5 linked regions of the Xenopus tropicalis genome follow. The protein of the gene in region 1 purifies or fractionates together with the protein of each later gene. This does not show direct contact. Links are inferred from orthologs where the notes say so. Each region holds a gene or a part of one and is shown on either strand. Other genes may lie near its edges.

What was found.
Region 2: the proteins of adra1d (region 1) and ctnnal1 purify together in Homo sapiens (tandem affinity purification; 3 studies listed by IntAct, with this or other methods). This does not show direct contact. The link is inferred for Xenopus tropicalis from reciprocal best matches to the Homo sapiens genes ADRA1D and CTNNAL1.
Region 3: the proteins of adra1d (region 1) and sntb1 purify together in Homo sapiens (tandem affinity purification; 4 studies listed by BioGRID and IntAct, with this or other methods). This does not show direct contact. The link is inferred for Xenopus tropicalis from reciprocal best matches to the Homo sapiens genes ADRA1D and SNTB1.
Region 4: the proteins of adra1d (region 1) and utrn purify together in Homo sapiens (tandem affinity purification; 4 studies listed by BioGRID and IntAct, with this or other methods). This does not show direct contact. The link is inferred for Xenopus tropicalis from reciprocal best matches to the Homo sapiens genes ADRA1D and UTRN.
Region 5: the proteins of adra1d (region 1) and dtna purify together in Homo sapiens (tandem affinity purification; 4 studies listed by BioGRID and IntAct, with this or other methods). This does not show direct contact. The link is inferred for Xenopus tropicalis from reciprocal best matches to the Homo sapiens genes ADRA1D and DTNA.

Annotation. Positions count from the first base shown.
Region 1 is NC_030677.2:11,904,403-11,908,812, reverse strand, and holds the start of adra1d (alpha-1D adrenergic receptor), read right to left. Parts: upstream 2,951-4,410; 5' UTR 2,506-2,950; coding exon 1,563-2,505; intron 1,549-1,562; exon of another isoform or gene 1,440-1,548; intron 1-1,439. UniProt on the Homo sapiens protein: This alpha-adrenergic receptor mediates its effect through the influx of extracellular calcium.
Region 2 is NC_030682.2:76,846,647-76,850,969, forward strand, and holds the end of ctnnal1 (alpha-catulin), read right to left. Parts: intron 1,599-4,323; coding exon 1,434-1,598; 3' UTR 586-1,433; downstream 1-585. UniProt on the Homo sapiens protein: May modulate the Rho pathway signaling by providing a scaffold for the Lbc Rho guanine nucleotide exchange factor (ARHGEF1).
Region 3 is NC_030682.2:138,634,378-138,638,090, forward strand, and holds part of sntb1 (beta-1-syntrophin), read right to left. Parts: intron 2,723-3,713; coding exon 2,515-2,722; intron 1-2,514. UniProt on the Homo sapiens protein: Adapter protein that binds to and probably organizes the subcellular localization of a variety of membrane proteins. May link various receptors to the actin cytoskeleton and the dystrophin glycoprotein complex.
Region 4 is NC_030681.2:45,719,854-45,723,566, forward strand, and holds part of utrn (utrophin), read left to right. Parts: intron 1-1,359; coding exon 1,360-1,468; intron 1,469-2,445; coding exon 2,446-2,532; intron 2,533-3,713.
Region 5 is NC_030682.2:112,830,039-112,833,751, reverse strand, and holds part of dtna (dystrobrevin alpha), read right to left. Parts: intron 3,016-3,713; coding exon 2,926-3,015; intron 838-2,925; coding exon 669-837; intron 1-668. UniProt on the Homo sapiens protein: May be involved in the formation and stability of synapses as well as being involved in the clustering of nicotinic acetylcholine receptors.

The sequences.
Region 1 (4,410 bases):
TGTTTAACCCCATGTTACAGTGTGAGTATCTGGTTTGTACACGGCTGATGCCCCATGAACACTGTACCTGACATGTCTAGATCAGAGCAATCGTACATAATATAATGTGCCGGCAATTGTCTGGGAGTAGGATCAGTGTATCCACTACTCTTTCATTCACTTACAATATAGACTTATATTATTATTATTACAATTATGTAGTCTGGCCATCCTCACTTTGCTGCCTGGTTGTGCCTAGTAACCCCCCCCCCCCCCCCATAATCCCCCCTGTACCCCCCTGTAGGGCCCTGCCAAGTACAGTGTAATTAAGCCAATCTCTCCCTGAGTGTAATGGGAATTCTAACGGCCGCTCTGCACTTCGTCAGCTGATCCCGAGCATCTCTGCTGTTTACACAAGGAAAGGGCAGTGTTAGTGTTTGGGTCAGTTGACCTTTATTTTGAATAAACAAGACAAGCAGCGTCCTGCCCTCTCTGCAATTCTGCCCCCAGTCAGGCTTGTTTGTGTTCCCTTCCACCCCTCCAACCCAAACAAATCAATTACCCCTACTAGGGACTCTCAGGCTTTGATAATTCTCCCAAGGGATGGGGCAGATCCAGCCCAGGAATTTACTGTGTATCTGCCACCCCCATGCCCCCGGCAACACCTTGGCAACAGCCCCGCTCTCCCCAGTCTGCCCCTATGGAATGGTGCTAAATATTTCCAGGGGCAGTAAACTGAACGATCAGGGAAATACCTGCCAGAAACATGAGCGGAGGTAGATCCTGATATAACTTGTAGACTTATTATTATTATTTATTTATAAAGCGCCAACATACCCCGCAGCGCTGTACAATAAGTGGGTTCCATACATTGGGCATACAGAGTAACATATAAAGCAATCAATAACCGATACAGGAGGGGAAGAGAGCCCTGCCCAAAAGAGCTTACAATCTACAAGACTAATGTAGTTCAGCTATGAGAAACAGGTGTTTTTGGGGACCCCCAGTGCACCCCAGACATTCTCTTATTTGGGTGACCCCAAAATTGGTATTAAAGTAATTTGATCAACGTTTTAACTGATAGGGGGGGTTCCAACATGGAATTTGAAAATGATATCTTGTTGCTAAGGACACTTTGCCTAGTGACGCTGAAAATCTGCAATACTATTGACGTTCAAAGTGCTGCCATATACCTTTAAACCTGTAACCCCCTTGAGACGTTTTTTAGAATTCCAACAATGTAAGGGAGGGGGGTATTTACCCCTGAGCCCTTGGGTCGTCGTTTTCTGCCTGTCGTAACTCTGCTAAACGACCAGAAAAACCACATCGCGATCGCTAAAGGTGAGAACTTTCCCAACAGAAATCGCGCTGCATTAGGCTATCAGTGAGTCGGAATGGGTCGGGAAGGGTCGGAGGGGGAAGAGACAAAGTTAAACATTAAGTCGGCACTTGGGACTTACCCAGCGGTAGGATAAGGAAGAAGGGGAGCCAGCAGAGGATGAACACCAGTGAGTCGGAATGGGTCGGGAAGGGTCGGGGGGGAAGAGACAAAGTTTAACATGAAGGAGGCACTTGGGACTTACCCAGCGGTAGGATAAGGAAGAAGGGGAGCCAGCAGAGGATGAACACCCCAACCACGATGGCCAAGGTCTTGGCGGCCTTCTTCTCCCTGGAGAATTTGAGGAGTCTGACGGACAGGGAGCTCCTGAAGGTATGACCCTTGTGGTTCCTGGTACTGGAGCTGGACTCCTCTAGGACACTTCTACAGTGGATCCTGAGCACCACCTCCATGGACTTGTTCCTTTCCTTCTTCACCCCAGCCTCCAGGCTCTTGGTAGTCCTCCTGGCCACTATGTAGACTCTGAAGTACATGACAAGGATGACCAAGAGGGGCAGGTAGAAGGAGAAGAGGGAAGAGAAGAGAGCGTATCCCGGCTCCTCTGTGATGCTACACTTGCTGTCATCTGGAGGTGGAGGCTCCTTCCAGCCCAGGAGAGGTCCGATGGAGATGACCATAGAAGACAACCAGAGCAGGATGAGGATGACCACAGCTTTCTTCTCGGTCATGATGGTGGGGTACTTCAGCGAGTACTTCACCCCGACATACCTGTCTATAGAAATGACGCAGAGGCTCATGATGGACGCAGTGCAGCAGAGGACATCCACCGCTGCCCAAATGTCGCAGAAGACCCTTCCGAACGCCCAGAAGCCCAGCACCTCCAGGGTGGCGGAGAAAGGCAGCACCGTGGTGCTGAGCAGAAGGTCGGCGATGGCCAGGTTGACGATAAAGTAGTTGGTGACTGTCTGCAGCTGCCTGTTGCAAGCCACCGACAAGATGACCATGATGTTGCCCACTATGGCAAAGAGGATGAAGACAGCCAGGACGATCCCGACACTTAGAGCCGGCAGGTCCAAGGCCAGACTCAGGGAGGTCCCGTTGGCATGGTCCTCAGTGTCATTATCCCCTCTAATGTGGGGTTCCGTGTGGTTTCCCACACTGTCATTGGTCAGGTCTGTAAAAGTCATGTTAACTCTCCATGGAATGGGGCTCAGTAAGTCATTCTGGTAGGGTTCTCCTACACTCACCCCTTCTTATCTCCTTCTCCCCAGAGAGGCCATCAGCAAAGTCCCTGGGGCAGTCACCAACTCCCACTGGGTGGCACATTCTCCAGCCTGCAGGGAGTTGGGAGCCAAGGGTGGCCCAGAGAGGCTCATGGGAGCAATGACTACAGACTGAGTGTGGGGGCTACTTGTCTCCTTCAGCAACTGCAGTGGCAACTCCTCCCCAAGCGTCTTAGGTGGAGGGTAACCCCCCCTGCCTGCCCTGCTGCTCCTGGAGTTCAAGGTAAGGCTCAGGGCTACCTGCTGGGGCTGGGTGCCATATGGCAGCGCTTCCCATCACCGTCCGGCGCTGCATTTGCTTTGGGGAAACTCAGCATGAATGGGAGAGAGGAGCTTCCTCACTGTAATTCATTCACTTCAACGTCTCCTCCTCCTCCTCCTTTCTGTGCTGCTCCGATAAAAATAGCAGTTGCAATACCCCCGGCGGACGTTAGGGAGCAGCAGAGAGACACCTAGATTTCTTTCATTCTAAAAAGAGAATTTTTAGATGCAGGTTTGGCTGGTCGCTGATAACCTTTAGGGGGAGGGATGGAAGAACTGATCCATATTTAGCCTGCTGCCGGGGTGCCTTTGTTACTGCTGCTGCCACTGTTCCTTTAATGATGTCCTGCTGCTGCTGCTGCATATACTGATTTATTAGGGTTACTTACCCTTTACTTGCTTTATACTTCAGTCCTTCTTGTGGATAAGTCGTACGGCTTCTGCTCTCCTCATTCTGCAGGTTGTAAGTATGTATGTATGTATGTATATGTGCTACTTATGTACGCAGCGCTGTACAGTAGAATACATTAATACAAACAGGGGGTTATTAAGAAAATAATAGATAAATACACAGTATTACAATGAACATAAATAAATAAAAGATACAGTTGCGATAAGGGTCAAAGACACAAGAGGATGGAGGTCCCTGCCCCGTAGAGCTTACAATCTATATATATATGTACAGTATGTGTCCTTTCCTTGGGCTGTTTTCCTTCCTATAGGGCCACAGCTGTCCGCAGGGGCCACACTTGCTTAATATATGTCCCTTGTGGGGCCCCATAGAAAAGCAGAGGCAAAAGTAAAGAAACTTTATTGCACCCCCCCAAGCCTGCAACAGTACGTATGTATGTATATCTTTATTTATAAAGCGCTTTTTACAGGGTCGGACTGGGGGGTGAAGGGCCCACCAGTGCCCACGCCCATAGCCCGCCCATATGGCCCGTGCCCATAGCCTCCCCCCCGAGGGGCCCCCCTAACCCCCCTCGCAGGGCCCCAACCCGATGTCCTTCCCCGAGAGCGTTAATTTAACGCGTTGGGGCAGAAGCGGTCGGGCAGGGGGAGCACCGCAAGGGTCGGGTTCGACCCTGGCTACTTATGTACGCAGCGCTGTACAGTAGAATACATTAATACAAACAGGGGGCTATTAAGGTAATAATAGATAAATACAAAGTATAACAATAAATACAAATAAATACAGATAAATACAGTTGCAATAAGTTAAGGTACAAAGACACAAGAGGATGGAGATCCCTGCCCCGTAGAGCTTACAATCTATATATATAACTTACTAAAACTCTATATCAGGGCTTTCTGACCAACTTTAACTCCCAGAGTCCTTCATAGGGCAAAGGGTGCTGGGAGTTGGCTAGGATAATGGGGTTCCAACACTTTAATACTAAAATAGCTTGGGGGTGTTCATTAGACTTTATTGTTTATATTTATTTACTATTCAATACAGAATAGTAAAATAAAATTAATTCTATAGCGTAGGGCATACAGGGAATATAATTGTTGCTGGAAATCTGCCTGTTATGGAATGTGCCCAAA
Region 2 (4,323 bases), on another chromosome or scaffold:
ATATCTGTACTTATTTAAACTGAACTTGAAGGTCATTTATAGGATAACTATGGCTGAATGGTGGCTACAGCAATCCTTTCATATATTTCTTTAAGCCAAGATGTGAAAATAACATCTAGCTTGAGAAGGTATTACTGATAGGCCTCCTTTTGTGTGTTGTACCTACACATGCACCTAAAAAAATTGAGCCATTAACTTGGCTCCAATTTTTGTAACCCGCACCCCACATTTTTACCTTTTGGACATAATGAAACAGGAAGTGATATCTTCAGAAGTAGGCGGGATAAAAAGGTTTAAAGGAGTAAAACTTGCTATATAGGAGACTAGCTGACCCACGCCTATACCCACATACATTATTGGCTTACAGGGAAATAACAAATCGTATTCGACGATGCTAGCAAATGATGTAACTTGTGTGCATTTTACCAAAGCATCATCTTGGGAAAACATTGCATGGCATGCTATTTTGTGGGCATGTGGGATTACACATGAATTCTGAGAAATAATGCTGCAATGTTAGTAAGAAAATGCTAAATTCACATTGTTTGTATTGAGTATTTAAATGAAATCTAACTTGACCACACAAAAGATTCATTAGAATTTTATTTTAAAAATAGAATCTTACATTGTAAATGTTAATGTAAAAAACTACATTTTCATGAAACTTAAATATGGTTTACATTCTGAGGAAAAGATACATTTGAGTGTTTTGATTCTTTACATGCATCTCAACTCTTACAAAGAAAAGTAAAATAATCTTGAGACCAGCATATCTGAAAGTAGGAAGAGCTTCACAAGAGATTGACAATTTAATCATCATCCTCATCTTCATCTCCCCGCAGCAAAAACCTCACAAGGGATCCACAAGCTTTTTTATATGTAACCAAAAATAGTTCTCTGCTTCAATGAATGTAAAGATTCCAGCAGCAAACTCTAAAATGAATGACAGGTGGCAGCAGAACAAGTTGTGAATGGAGTGTGCTGTGTTGTGCATATAGAAGTGGCACTTGCCTGTAAGGGAGTGGGCAACCAGTGCTTTTAGACCATGACGTATTGTCCTGATACAGGTAAACAGATACATTACACTTGAAAAAACCAACCAGTAAGTATTGGAAATGGTGACAGCAACTTGTGTAACAGCAATTTCATAAAGTTTGTTTCTGCATATCACAATTATACAAACAATAGCAGCATCTTTGGGTTAAGGTTTTCATTAAGACATTTTTAACAAATAATGATATCCATATAACGGCAGTAATGAGCTGAACGGAACACAAACAATTCTTAATGACTGATTGTGGTACCAATAACAAAAGAAGAAGGAAAAAAAATGCTGATGTTCACATCCTTAGTCTGGCTCTTGCCCTTTACAGTATAATGATGCTTTGCTTCCACTATCCTTTTCATTTACACTTCTGTTAAAATAGAAATGGCTACTTGCTCTCTAGAAATGTCAGATTAGCCACATGGTGTTCCAATGATTTAACTCCAAATGCTTCTACAGTTCTGCCCTCCATGCTGTCTTCATTTGTAATATTTTGAAGACAGTTTTCCCTCCAAGATGGAGAACTTTGGAAACATCCATTACCTGTTTTGCACTGGAAAATAAAGCAATACAATGTTAATGTATTCTAACCACCATTTCAAAGGCTATTTTAATGGAATAAAAACTATTATATATTATTCTCTTAAGTGCATATCACTTGCAGTAATCAAAGCCTGGACAAGTGATACTGTAAATATGTATATCTTGTTCCAATAATTTGGGCTACCCAAAACAAAAGCCTCCATATACTTACTTGTTTGGTAAATAAGTGTTAAGGTTTTAGTAAGAGCTTCATTTCTCCCTCTATAAACACAATACCTCTCTCAGTTGACAGATTTACAGTATCACATTCCCAGACTTTGATTATTACCTCAAGCGATCTGCATACAACCTTTATTAGAATGCCACAAGCGTAGTCTTTGGTGATGAACATTACACTCAATATAACAGTCTTAATCTAACACCTCTACAGTATTACTAATAAATAAGTAAGTGGTCTAATCACCATGCCACCCAATCTGGATCTATTCAGTAACTGGGTAGCATTACAGGAAAATCCCAGTGCAATAGCCACCCCGTTCACACTCATGATTTAATAGATCATCAAATATAGCTACAACACTGACACTATAAATGAGATCTTAAACCTTTGCTGAGGAGTTGAAACTTATGGGGTGCCGTTTGTCTAAGTACATTTTGTCTATAAAAATACATTCTATATACAAAAAGCAATCCCCAGTAGACAGAATTAAAGTGTGGATATAAACACTGGTAAAAATATACCAAAGATATATATTTCTAGTGAAGAATGAGATCAAAAACAATTTTATGCACAAAAGGATATTATATTACAAACTTCATTCTGTAAATTTTAAAAAGCATTCTGTCTCACAAATGCATAACATCCATACAAAAAAATGTGTAAAGTTACTTACAGAATGAATAATGTAAAACAAAATTTCGACAAAATATATAATGGTGTAACTGAATAGCATATTCCAGCTAGATTTTCATGACAAAATAGATGCGTGTGACAGAAAGCAAGATTATATAGCACAGAACTCATTCTATCAACAAAATGAATACATGATTCCACAAAACTGATAAAATATCCATTCTGTAAAACAACACTGTCAATCAAATTCCTGAACCAATAAGAAACAAGCATGTTCATTATCCAATAATATGCAGGTTTTAACTGGAGTCAATTTACTGTTTTTATTTGTCTATAAAGTGTTGCCAGCTCTGCCCCACAAGCCTACATTATCCCTAGTGCTGAGGATACTGTCTGGCCTGCTATAGAGGGCACCCTCTAATGTCTGCTGTGTTATAGGTTTTTAACCAGAAGGTCTTTCAAATGGATGAGGAATATAGTGCTGTACTGATGCTGCGTCACAACACTGATGTAATGATGTTTCTGATAATGAGCTTTAAAGAAAACAAAAAACATTAATACGATAACTTAAGGCTATTCCTTTTATCTCCTAGCCTAACCAATCATTATAATATGCCTAATATTTCCTCATTAACATACAAGTCAATAAAACACATTAGGGTTGATTCACTAAGGAGCGATGAGCGATATGCGTTATTGCATGCTTTTTTGTGTTAAAATAAACGCGAAAAAAACGTGCGATTCGCTAAAGTATTATCGCATGCGTTAAGTCGCATATCGTGTGCGTTAAATAACGTGCAACCGAATGCGTTAATTTTAACGCATTACGTTAATTAGCGAATGAAAAGAAAACGCATGATTCACAAAAGCGCATGAAGTGTTAAATGCATTAATTAGCGTGCAAGTGTGTGCGTATTTTAGCACCTAATTGGGGGAGGCGTTGTGCAGACCACATTTTTAATTTTTTGTTGGAAAAAGGCAAGATGGAGTTTGCAATGGGGTTTTTGCTCTATTTGGAGGAGGAACATCAAGTCCCCGAGCCTTCCAGAGTGATTTGTCGGGAAAGGACAACTTTGGAGGGCTTAAACGAGGATGAAGTGGTCAGGCACTACAGGCTCAATAGGGTGGCAATATCCAGCCTGTATGAGCTGCTTGAGCCTTCCCTGCAGCCACTGACTCGCAGAAGCCATGCAGTTCCCGGAATGGTGAAACTGCTGTGCTCCCTGCACTTTTTGGCCACTGACAGTTTCCAGAGGGTTGGTGGGTTTACGGGGGGTGTCACAGCCCACCTTTTTCACGGTGCCTTGGTCAGGTCCTGGACGCCATACGCTCGGTGTCTTGGAATTTCATCTTGTCCCCCAAAAATCGGAACAAGTGGAATGCTGTGAAAAGGCAGTTTTATGGGTTAAGTGGCATCCCAAATGTGTCCGGGGACAAATTGTTACCAATTGCTTTTCCTGTAAGTACCAACAATCTTTAATCCCCTAAACAAGAAATAACAAACAACTTCTCCAAAAAAAAAAAAAGGTTTTATTTACCGGGAAATTATTTTTTATTATTGGTGTGCGTGACTCGCCTGTTGGAGGCTTAACATGGCAGCCTTGTGTGCAGCTTGGCGTGCCTGACTGGCATTTGTAGGTGTTAGTGGCCACACACAAGTCGACATGCAATGTGTCCAACTTTTTCATTAAATTTTTATTATGCCTTATTAGAGATTTGTGGAACCTATCTTTCTCAGGTTCCTGGGGGGCCACATTAGCTGTGCTGCTTCTGGCCTGGGTTGTGACCTGCTGCTGAGGAATGTTGGCCGGCTCCTCATCTGAAAACAAGGCCACGTCGCTGCCACATACGCGTGACCCTCTCTCACTTGCCTCCCCACTAA
Region 3 (3,713 bases), on another chromosome or scaffold:
CCGGTATTTCATTAAAGGACAAATAAACCTTAAATAGAATATTTAGGGGATGGTTTAACATTTACACTATTTTTTAAAATGTAATTTTTTTTTCTAATGCAGAATATAATAAATATAATACTAGAAAGGTACATTTCCTGAAGAAAATGTGAGTGGTGCTTGCCGTGGCAAAACTCGTGCCCCAATATTACAATGTTTCCTTCAGTTTTGTTAATTGCCCCCTGCTTGGGCAATTATCCTCCCACCCCCATAGAAAAGTCATTGCACCCCATTCCCGAATAAGCCGCACGGTTTGACACCTCATTCATTTGTCTATGACAAACGGTGGTTAATTGCCCCCTGCTGGGGCAATTAACATCCCACCCCTCACAAAAGTCATAGCACCCCATTCCCGAATAAACCGCACGGTTTGACAACTCATTCATGCGTCTACGACAAATGGTGCGGGAGTCAAAGTTGCTCTCAATGTTAAGTCTATGGGCGGGTAATTGCCCCCTGCTGGGGCAATTAACCGCCCACCCCTCAGAAAAGTTATAGCACCCCATTCCCGAATAAGCCGCATGGTTTGACACCTCATTCATGGGTCTACGACAAACGGTGCGGGACTCAGTCAAAGTTGGTCTCAATGTTAAGTCTATGGGCGGATAATTGCCCCCTGCTGAGGCAATTAACCGCCCACCCCTCAGAAAAGTCATAGCACCCCATTCCCGAATAAGCCACACAGTTTGAAACCTCATTCATGGGTCTACGACAAACTAGTTATTTGCCAAAATCCCCATTATAAGTCAATGGGGCAAATCTGGGGACCTCTCTTGCCCCGGGGGTAAAACTTATACCCTTGTGCGGGGTATCTTCTGACACAGGTTGCAAATCTCTTCAAAAAGTCATAGCACCCCATTCCCGAATAAGCCGCATGATTTGACACCTCACTCATGGGTCTACGACAAACGGTGCGGGACTAGTTACGTACCGAACTTTGTACGGAAGAAGAAGAAGAAGAATAAGCCTGTGAGATAATAGTAGTGATGCTTTGGTTCGCAAGCACCACTAATAATAAATAATAATATAATATAATAAAAGTTTGCCCAGGTGTAGTAACCCATAGCAACCAATCAGCAGAATTTGCTAGTCACTTGTTTAAAAGCATACATCGTATTGGTTGCTATAGGTTACTGCTACTGGGTAATCTTAGTGCCTTTTTTTTACATATGCGGGGGTAAAGTCTATTTCACTGGGGGGGGGGGTGCCAAAATATTGGGCAACCCCCCCCCCAATGAAATAGACCACTCCTGTTAGGAGAAAAATGCACCATAATTAAAAAAAAAAAAACAACCACCGCCAAAGATGTGCCTTGTAAATCCAGTGGCTGAGCGGGGCGGGGGTGAGGGGAATCCTTAGCACTGGAGACGTCACTCACACTCATAAAGATCCAGAATGGAAAGGTAAGTATTGCAAAATAAAAGCAATAAAAACAGCCTCACAGTAAAGTTGCCCATACATGGCCCAATAAATGCTGATAAATTGCCCCCTCCAGACTGAGTTGTCAGCTTATTAGCCCATGTAAAGGGCACTTGCAACCAATATCTGTCTGAAAATTAGCCAGATATCTACTGGCCAGGTTGATAGGACTACTGTATGATTTGATAAATGTGCATTTTAGCCCAATATATACTCCTAAGCTGATAAGAGATAACCTTTATTGGGATACATTAAGTGGATAAAGTGACCCCCCTTAATTTATAATGCCAGTGGTACTGGCCTAAAGACTTGCTGCTCTTGTGATTAACAGATTATTTTATAGGGGTATCATTTATACCCCAGGGCCAGAGCTTGGGGTATGCAGAGTAGGCAGCTGCCTCGTGTGCTGCAGATAGGGAGGCACAATTTGAAGAAAAATAACGATACAGCTGCTCCCGTCTGCTACTAATGCGTCATACATTAATTTCTGTAAAGTGAGTGGAAGTAGCCCGCAGCAGGGGCAGCAGTGGGAAGGGGGCTCCAACTGCTGGAAGAGAAGTTGCTGCGGCAGGTGGGTAGGTGGTAGGGAGGGGGAGAGTGGGAACCAGGGCAAGAGCCTTGCCTTGGGTGCAAGTACCTTTTGGCCTGGCACAGTTGTGCCCATTGCAGTATCCCAGGGTCTATCACTACTGATAAGTAAACCTACTAAAAGCAAAAAGCTCAGGGTGCTTTTCTAAGCACTTTAAGTTTTAATTAACTGCTTGTCTTATGAACCTTGTAACTAAAGCACCACTCATTGGTTAGTTTTTCCATCTGTGCAGTCAGAGGGATATTTCAGAAGGTAAACAGAGAACTCTTCTGATGTTGCTCTGCTCAGGAAAGAAATTGGATTAGGTTCATGATCTCTTTCCAGAGCAGAGAAACATCAGATCTGTTTCCTTCTGAAAAACGTAATTTGTCAGCGTAACTTGACAGTGACGTAGATTCTGTCTCTTTAACACTGGCCACAGCTCTATAACATAAATGCACAGTTAGGCACTGAGTGCTGTTACTTGCCTTTTCCGCCAGCCAGCCCAAATGTCCAATATCCGTGCTTCCCGAGATCCCGGTTTTCCCTAATTGTTCTTTAACTTCCGTTATCACCCTGCTGACCAGATCGGAGGCAGCTGAGTGTATAGCATTAAACCAGGCCTGCGCGGTGACTGGGTCAGAACTTCGGAGGACAACCGTGTGCTTTGCGTCAGGTGAATGCAACTCCAGATTTCTGCAAATACAAATAGAAAAAATGAGTAATCCTCCCCCACATCGGATCCTTGCTCCTGCACCAAGACCAAGACCCCTGTACATGCTCCGTTAGTAACACTATGAGGAAGCTTCCTGCTGATTGGCTCAGATCCACATTCCTAAGGGGGGGAGGGAGTTCTTAGCATTCTTGAGGGAGAGGGAGCAGGAGAGGGGAGAGAGCTGCGTGTTTCTGGCACAGGAAAACAAAGATAACAAATCTTTTGACAGAGGACTCAGTGCAGCGTTTCTGTGAATGCTTATGGCTGTATTTACATAGACCTTTCTGATAAAGCTTACTTAGTTGTTACCTTTCCTTCTCCTTTAAAAACCCAGTGGGTGAGCTTTAGTCTATAGATAAACCCATGTAAATGGGATTTTCTAAGAGCTTGTTTGGAATTCATTCCCAGAATTCTGTTTATTTGTATGTGTATGAGGCAGTCTCCTCAACCCTAATGATTTGTTTGTGAATTCACACTAGTTTGTAGAAGAATGATCCACATGTTGACAGTGGCATAACTACTGGAAGAGCAGGCGGCAGTGTGTGGCGGGAAGTCATGTTTGGGGCAGGGGCAAATTAATTATTTCTTTAGTCTTTGGCTGTACCCTGATGCCACCCATTATCTGCCCAATCACCAACCCCCAATCCACCCCAGATCTACTTCATTCCTTCCCTTGGAATTAAGGGTCCAGGCAACTACCCGGATTGCTCTTATGCAAATCTGCCACTGGAAGGTCAGCACTAGGCTTCAAAACAGACCCTGGCATTCCAAGCACACAGAGGCCCAAACAGCCCCCCCAGCCCAATAAATAGTGACTGCCTATGGCATCTTACAGTAGCCCCTCTGGCATTGGCCAGAACCCAGAGATTGCCAGTCTGGGCCTGGGTCCTGGCATTCCAAGTACAAAGAGACCCAAACAGCCCCCCAGCCCAATAAATAGTGAGTGTCTATGGCACCTTACAGCCCCCCTGG
Region 4 (3,713 bases), on another chromosome or scaffold:
GAAATGCAGTATTTTATATTCTGTCCCTCAGATAAGAGAAAACTGACCTTTTTTTTTTTTACTTGGGAAAAGTTGACCTTTTGCAAATAAATTGCAATTAGCACAGCTATGTGATATTATTTATGATGATATTCCGTAGTATTTCTGTAACTATGGTGACACCTACTATATTGCTAGGTAACCCAGCGTGGTGAATCTGGAAATTAAAATAGAAAACAAATAATATGCAAAGAACATACATTCATACCATGCAGATGCTTGTTGCAGCATCCATTCATATGTAGTGTATAGGTAAAAGGACAGCATATTATTTTTATTGTGTAAAGCAGATTCTGGGAAGTAAACTACCACCCTTAAAGGGGTGGTTCACCTTTAGGTTAACTTTTAGTATGTTATAGAATGGCCCATGCTTAGCAACTTTTCCAATGGTCTTCATTTTTTGTAATAGTTTTTTAATTATTTGCCTTCCTCTTCTACAACATTCCCACTTTCAAATGGGGGTCACTGACTATTGTTCTTTGAAGCTACAATTTTATTTTTGTTGCTACTATTTATTACTTATCTTTCTATTTAGGCCCTCCTCTATTCATATTCCTCTTTCAAACCACTGCCTAGTTGCTAGGTCAAATTGGACACTAGCAATCAGATACTTTGTTTAATGCTTAAAAAACAGGGCATGTCACCAAAATCTTATTTTGGGTAGGTATAATTAGCCCCTATGTCTTTTAGAAAATTCCTGTCGATAAGGAACCAAACTCAGCATGGAGTTATAGGCCTGTTAGCCAAGTATATCCATATACCTACTGAGACAGGCTGATCTGCCATCTTACTGTGCCTGGTTGTATCTCTAAAAGAAGCCTTGGTCTGGATTATTTTTTATATATAATATAAATATATTAATAAATGCCAAAAAAAAAATAAAATATATATATATATATATATATATATGTAATATATATATATATATATATATATATATGTATATATTTTATATTATGTATGTATGTGTGTGTATGTGTATATATATATGTATAACATTATATGTATGTATAATATTTATGTGGTTTATTTTCTATATCTCTACTTACTAAGTTTTATAATGAAGGGTAGTTGAAGCATAGCAGAGCGGAAGACAATATTTCATGTTTGCTAAGTGCAGACTGGAAAATCATTGCAAATAAAATACATTGAGCTGGGAAGGTTAATATCAAGCCATTTTTGCTATACCAGAAGCTTGGGAGAAAATGTGTTGTTTTCTGTAGCTGTGGGCACAGTGCATCTGCTGATACCTGTAGGAATTAGAATGGATTTCAAGGTGATTGCTTCTTTATTTGTGTTTTGTTTTACATTACATTTCAGCCTGAATCAGAGTCCAGGGTTAATGGAGTCTCTATATCTGTCTCGCCACAGCCGCCTGCCCCCAGATATTCAGCTGATCATGATTATAGCTCTCAGTTTCAACAGACAGGTAAGTAGCTTGTGTCCAATAAACAGTGATTTAGCTCAAAAGCACCCCAGTTAACAGCAAAGGAATAAGAAAATACAGGGGCATTAAAATAATGCTTCATTAAAGGGACACTAAACACTGATACACTGCTGTTCTCACACTTTACTCAGTTGTTGGTTAACTACAAATCCCAGCATATTATCAAGGCTACGGTCTGCTGAGAGGTGTACTCCAGCAATATCAGAGCTGTATTCTTATAATGCTGTTGCTTAATAAATATTGCAAAATAATCCTCCATTGTGAATCCCAAGTGATCAGTTTAAATATGGCATTCTTTGTTCCTGCAAGTGGAGTTGGAAGAATTCAGCATTTTTTTCTAGCATTGTCTGATTCCAGTGTAATGTAATGAAGCCAAAAATGTCCCAATTATCTCCATATGTAAGATAACAGCAAGATGACTGACAAAACGTATATAATCGGTTTTCATTGGTGAATTCTCTTTCATGCAGTTTTTTGTTAAATTTGTAAAATTCTTTTTGATAATTTGTTTTTCATCTATAATTATATTTTTTGTCAACTTCTACGGAGAACTGGGGGGCACAAAGGGACAGCTATATTTATATCAGATAATTAGACACACGTGCACCATGTTTTTGTCTTTTTTTGTTGTTTTTGTCCCTTTTTGTCCAAGGGAAACTTGCCAAACAACCTGCCCAAATGCGAGTTAGTACAAGAAAGGCAAAAAAAACCACCTGAAACCTCTCCTATTTGCTTGGGGTTGGGGGACCTGGGTCAGCTTTGAATGGATCCATTTCAGTAACCTTGTATTTTTTTTGTGCCAAAGCCTAACAAACCTGTACCCTAGCTGCTGAAGTGAACTGCAGCTCCCTGTAGTTTTTTTCTAGACCTTGTTCAATCCAAGGTTGTGTATCACTGATCTATTCTAGTTATTTTGTGTTTGTTTCACTTATTAATGTTGCTTTGCATGTGCCCCACAGTTGATGTATTGCACCCTCCGCACAGCGCCGCCACAGACCTAACAGATGTGATGGAACAATTCAACAGCACATTTCCCCTGAGCAGCTGTAAGTAAATCCCACTTTATACATTTGCTTCAACAGGTATGTTGGGAGATATATTTCAACACTAGTTCTTATGGACAGCAATTTGACATCCTCTTTATATTAGTGAGACTTTAATAGCATGTTATGCCCTTTTTTGTGTGTTTTCCACTTGTTTTTATAATGTTGAAAGTATTTCTATTTATTTAAAGCATTGCAACATTGGAGCATGTTTAGACCCACTCTAGGACTGTGGTTCCCAAATTGTAGTAGCAGTTAGGGAGATATTTGGAGAAAATGGCTGTTTTCTTTGCTAGATATAGCTGAAAACTCAGCTTAATGGTCAGTGAAAATTTGCTTGATGTTTTAGATTTTCTTGGAACTGTGGCTGAATGAATGGTAAACCAAAGTTTTTAAATATCTGTGATCTTATTATGAGCTAAATGGTGGGCCTTGAACTAAAAAAAAAAGGTCTGGCAACCATAGCCGTAGGCGAAGGTAGAGAATGTGTAATGATTAAAGGTTGATCGCTTAAACGATTAATGTGCAGTTGGGGTAATTACAGTATATTGTTATTGTTAATAAATCAGTTATATATGTCATTAGAAGGATAAACACAAGAGTCCTTATAAAGGGTGCTTAGTGATGTCATCAGCTCTTATTGGTGCTAAGCGATGTAATTCCTGTCACAGACTCATTGAAACGTGTGTATTATTATAAATAATGTTCTCCCTGTTGAAAAATAAGAGAATATTATAAGTTGCCTCGGCCTTCAGCCTCATGCTTTATAAAATCGTGGAACTCCTCAGTGACTTATTATATCCCTATATTTTACAATAGGGTTTTTTTATTCACTTTATATTTACTTTTTAATAACTTGTTACTTGTAACTTGTTTTCAGCTACAATAAAATGTTCTATTTGCCTTTTACTGCTATACCTACAGTTGGTGTGTTTCATACTTAACGCACCTTATAATTCCTTATTTTTTTCCTGTGCTCATTTTGTTCCTTCTTACTCTCGGAAAGTACTTACAAATCAGAATTATTAGCCAGCGGTGAGGCCCTGCCAAAATGCTATCGAAGGCTGCAAATGTCGCTCCCTTCAGCAATGCAAATCCCTATTTTCACCCTCGCACCTTGCCAGCTTTGTCTTACCAGATAACAGGCAGCACAGCAATATTGAAAGGAAGTGTTAAGATTAATT
Region 5 (3,713 bases), on another chromosome or scaffold:
TGTATGGTGTATAGGCACACAGTTGGTACAATAGTCTTGTTCTGAAATGGGGATTTTGGAACATAAAGCAGTACAACTGGGCTTATATAAAGGACACCCAGTATTCACTGAGTTTAAACAGAAGGGAATTTGCTCTTGTCATTTGGCTACTTTTAGAGCTAAAAGAGGTTTTGTAATAAAGGTTTGCCCTGGGGCAGTAACCTATAGTAACCAATAAGCAAGTACAATTTTCTGGTCACCTATTTAAAAGCAAACATCTTATTGGTTGCCATGGATTACTGCTACTGGGCAAACGTTGCCTTTTATGGAATACATGTGTATAGGAATCCAGATGTACTGAACCAAGTATTGCATTTAGGTCCAAGTATTAAACCAAGTATTGAATTTTGGTCCTGTCATGGAACAAGGCATTTTTCTTGGTTAGAGATGTTGGAACTCTGGTGTCTTTAGATGTAGATAATTAGTGGAGAACTCCTGGTCAGTATTCTTACCATCAGCAGCTCATAGGACACAAGTGCAGTTCTAATAAAAACATTTTTTTTAGGTTGTGGAAAGTTCCAAATTTTGCCCTTATGAATGTTCTACAGTCTTCATAAAGGAAAGCCCAAGGCTCTGTATTGTTAGCAAGAAACATGTCATTGTTGTAATGCATTGAAACAAATACATACAAGTCAGTGCGAATGTTGCCAGTAGCAGCAGAATGATGATTAAACCCTGGTTTTCGTGCATGGATCTGGGCAAGGAATGCCTTCTCTGAGGTTGGGGAAGGAACCAAATCATCAAAATGAACACGGCCATATTCGGTATCCACACCACACTCTGTTTCATTTCCAACATCTACAAAAGAAATATCTGGTGTTTATCTGGTGTTTACCTTCCCTCTCAAACCACATACAGAAAATTCACTGATCCACACTTACAGGTGATGCCAAAGGAGACTTTTGCACTTTATAAAGTGCAAAAGTTTCTTGTGACTTATTGGACAAATGTAAACATAGGTATTTGCAAATAACTAGTATTAATAAACGACTCAGTGCTCTCTGGATAAAATAACACCCACATACAGAGCATTAGATGCTGAATAGCTTGTGTTAACACCCACCTGGCAGGATAAGTTCTTAATTTATCCGTATGTGACGTACAAACAGCAATCAGTAAAGCAGAAGGAAATGCTAAATGTCAAGCCTCATTCAGGATGAATCAGAAGTGCAAGTTAAGGCTTTAATAATGTCAGAATTTGTTCATGCTAATGTACAGCCCATATTGTAGCTATAGTAAGGCTGCTATAATATATACCTATTTGTTTTACCTGAATAGGCCAATATTTACCATGAATGCTCTTCTCAGTTATTTTGCTAATCATAAAATAATTTGAATTTGGTTTAATTTACAGTATGTGTCCTGGGGAGTCTGCAAGTGACACAACTTTGATCACTAAAACGTTAAGGGTATCCATATCTCTGAAGCAGAAAGCTCATCAAATGATTCAGTCTATAAAAGCCTCTACCTGCTCCCTTCACATGCTATATTACAAAATAGAACTGCAAGCTTATTCCAACTGAATCATTATGTTGGGCTGAAAACCCCCAACTTCAGCTGATTCTTCCTCTTTTTCTTCTTCTTATTCTTAGCGCCCCCCATTTTCTAAACGCCACTCCTCCTACAGTTTTAGGGGTGCTGCCATTCTCACAGTAATAACACCAGGGTCCCCAAACTTTGCAGGGTTAGGCACCAGGTAACTGTGGTTCAAGGTTAGAAAAAGCGGGCGGAGCCACCAATAGCAAATCAGATTTTACCTATTGACTTTCAATGGGGATATTCAACCTGCTGCCATTCTGACAGAATTAACACCAGGGTCCCCAAACTTTTCACAGTTGGTCACTAGGGGACCGAAGGTTTAGTATGGAAAAGTGGGCGGAGCCACCAACAACCAATCAGATTTCACCTATTTAAGTCTACTGGTTTGATGCCAGGATCCCCAAACTTTGCACAGTCAGTCACTGGGTGACTACATACTCAATGTTAGAAAAAGTGGGTGGGGCTGCCAAAAGCCAATCACATTTCTTTCATTGTTTTCAATGGGATAATTTTAACTGCTGCCATTCTCACGTGTTTAATGTCAGGGTCCCAAAACTTTGCCCAGTTTGTCACTGGGTGACTATGTTCCAAGTTTAGAAAAGTGGGCGGGGCCAACAGCCAATCAGATTTCACCTATAGACTTCATATGTTTAAATTTAAACTGCTGCCATTCTTTATATATTAATACTAAGGTCCCCAAACTTTGCAGAGCTAATCACCAGGTAACTGTGGTTCAGACAGATAGTTCAGAGTATCTAGATATAACTGTAACTGTAAATAACTGAAATAGCTTGTGTTTACATGACATGTTACTTGCCAGAAGTGCCAGTGTTTTTTATTGTTTTTTATTGTTACTGTGAATTCTTTGAAGCCTCCTTCAAAGTGACCTTATTCATAGAAGCCTTCTTTGAAGAACATCACTTAAAGGGTCAGTCTATCATCTTTTTGAGTATAAACTCAATGAATAAGACGGCTGAACACACTATTTCATATTAATTACAGAAATATCTTTGGTTTTTATATTTCTTTCACAAAACATGTCAAAGATTGAATTTGAAGCCAACTTTCACTTTCCAGCTTCCTGGCTACCAGCTACCAATCCAAAGATAAGCCAATTGGTTAATGAGCTGCTCCTCGCATCAGTTTGGGTAAAGGATGGGTTTGTTTATGCAGAGCTTAATATCGCTTTTTAATTAACCTATTGCGAGGCGGAAATGCGGGGAGAGGTTGTTCAGGAAAAAACAAAAGAACACATTTTCAACACAAGTTCTATTCACTGTGGTCATGTTGAGCAGTGCTGTATATGGGTGTATACTGACCTCACTGTGTTTAGCGCTAGACACTCACCTGACTTCAGCTCTTTAACCAGAGAAGACATAGTATTGGTAATGGAATCAGCTGCTACAAGTAAATCATTACGTAAATTTCTCCTTGCACCTGGAGAAGAAGAGAAAATATATGTGAATATCAGTTAATATAAGCAAAGATAGTTAAAAAAAACTGTAATATTTAGACTGTCAATGTTTTGCTCTTATATCAGATTAGCTTACGTTATGGGTCAGAGTTAGATGAAAAGGGGCAATGTAAAACTAGGGAAAATGATCCGAGTGGAGAAGAATGCTGTTAAACTATATCTCCCAAGCACCCCCTTCTAACACCCAAACCTGATGGATTGTTAGAGTTGCAGCTTGATGACAACAACTTTTTTAAACGATTTTAAAAAATACAAGTTTCAGTTTCAAGACATGCATCCATTTCACGTTTTGGTGTAAATTAAACCAGCCTAACTGATCCAGAGTTAAGTGAAAAAGCATCATGTGATACCTCTCCAGTTTGCCACACAAGGAGAAAAATTTATCTTGACTGGATCACTCAAGGTATTTACACAGGGGATTGGGGACTGGGCTGGCAGCCGACCAACAAGCGTTCCTGGTACGTTTATCTACAGTCTGGACCCCAGGAACCCTGGGAAATCAGGACAAATGGTCTTCTCTCCCTTAACACCAACAGACTGAATTTTAGAGGGATCATTTTAAAGTGGAGCAATAAGTGGCACAGAAATACAAGCTATGCTTTTACACTGTTGATTGCTTTGTGCAAAGTTAATTCTAGTTTATGTACATTTATAACTACAT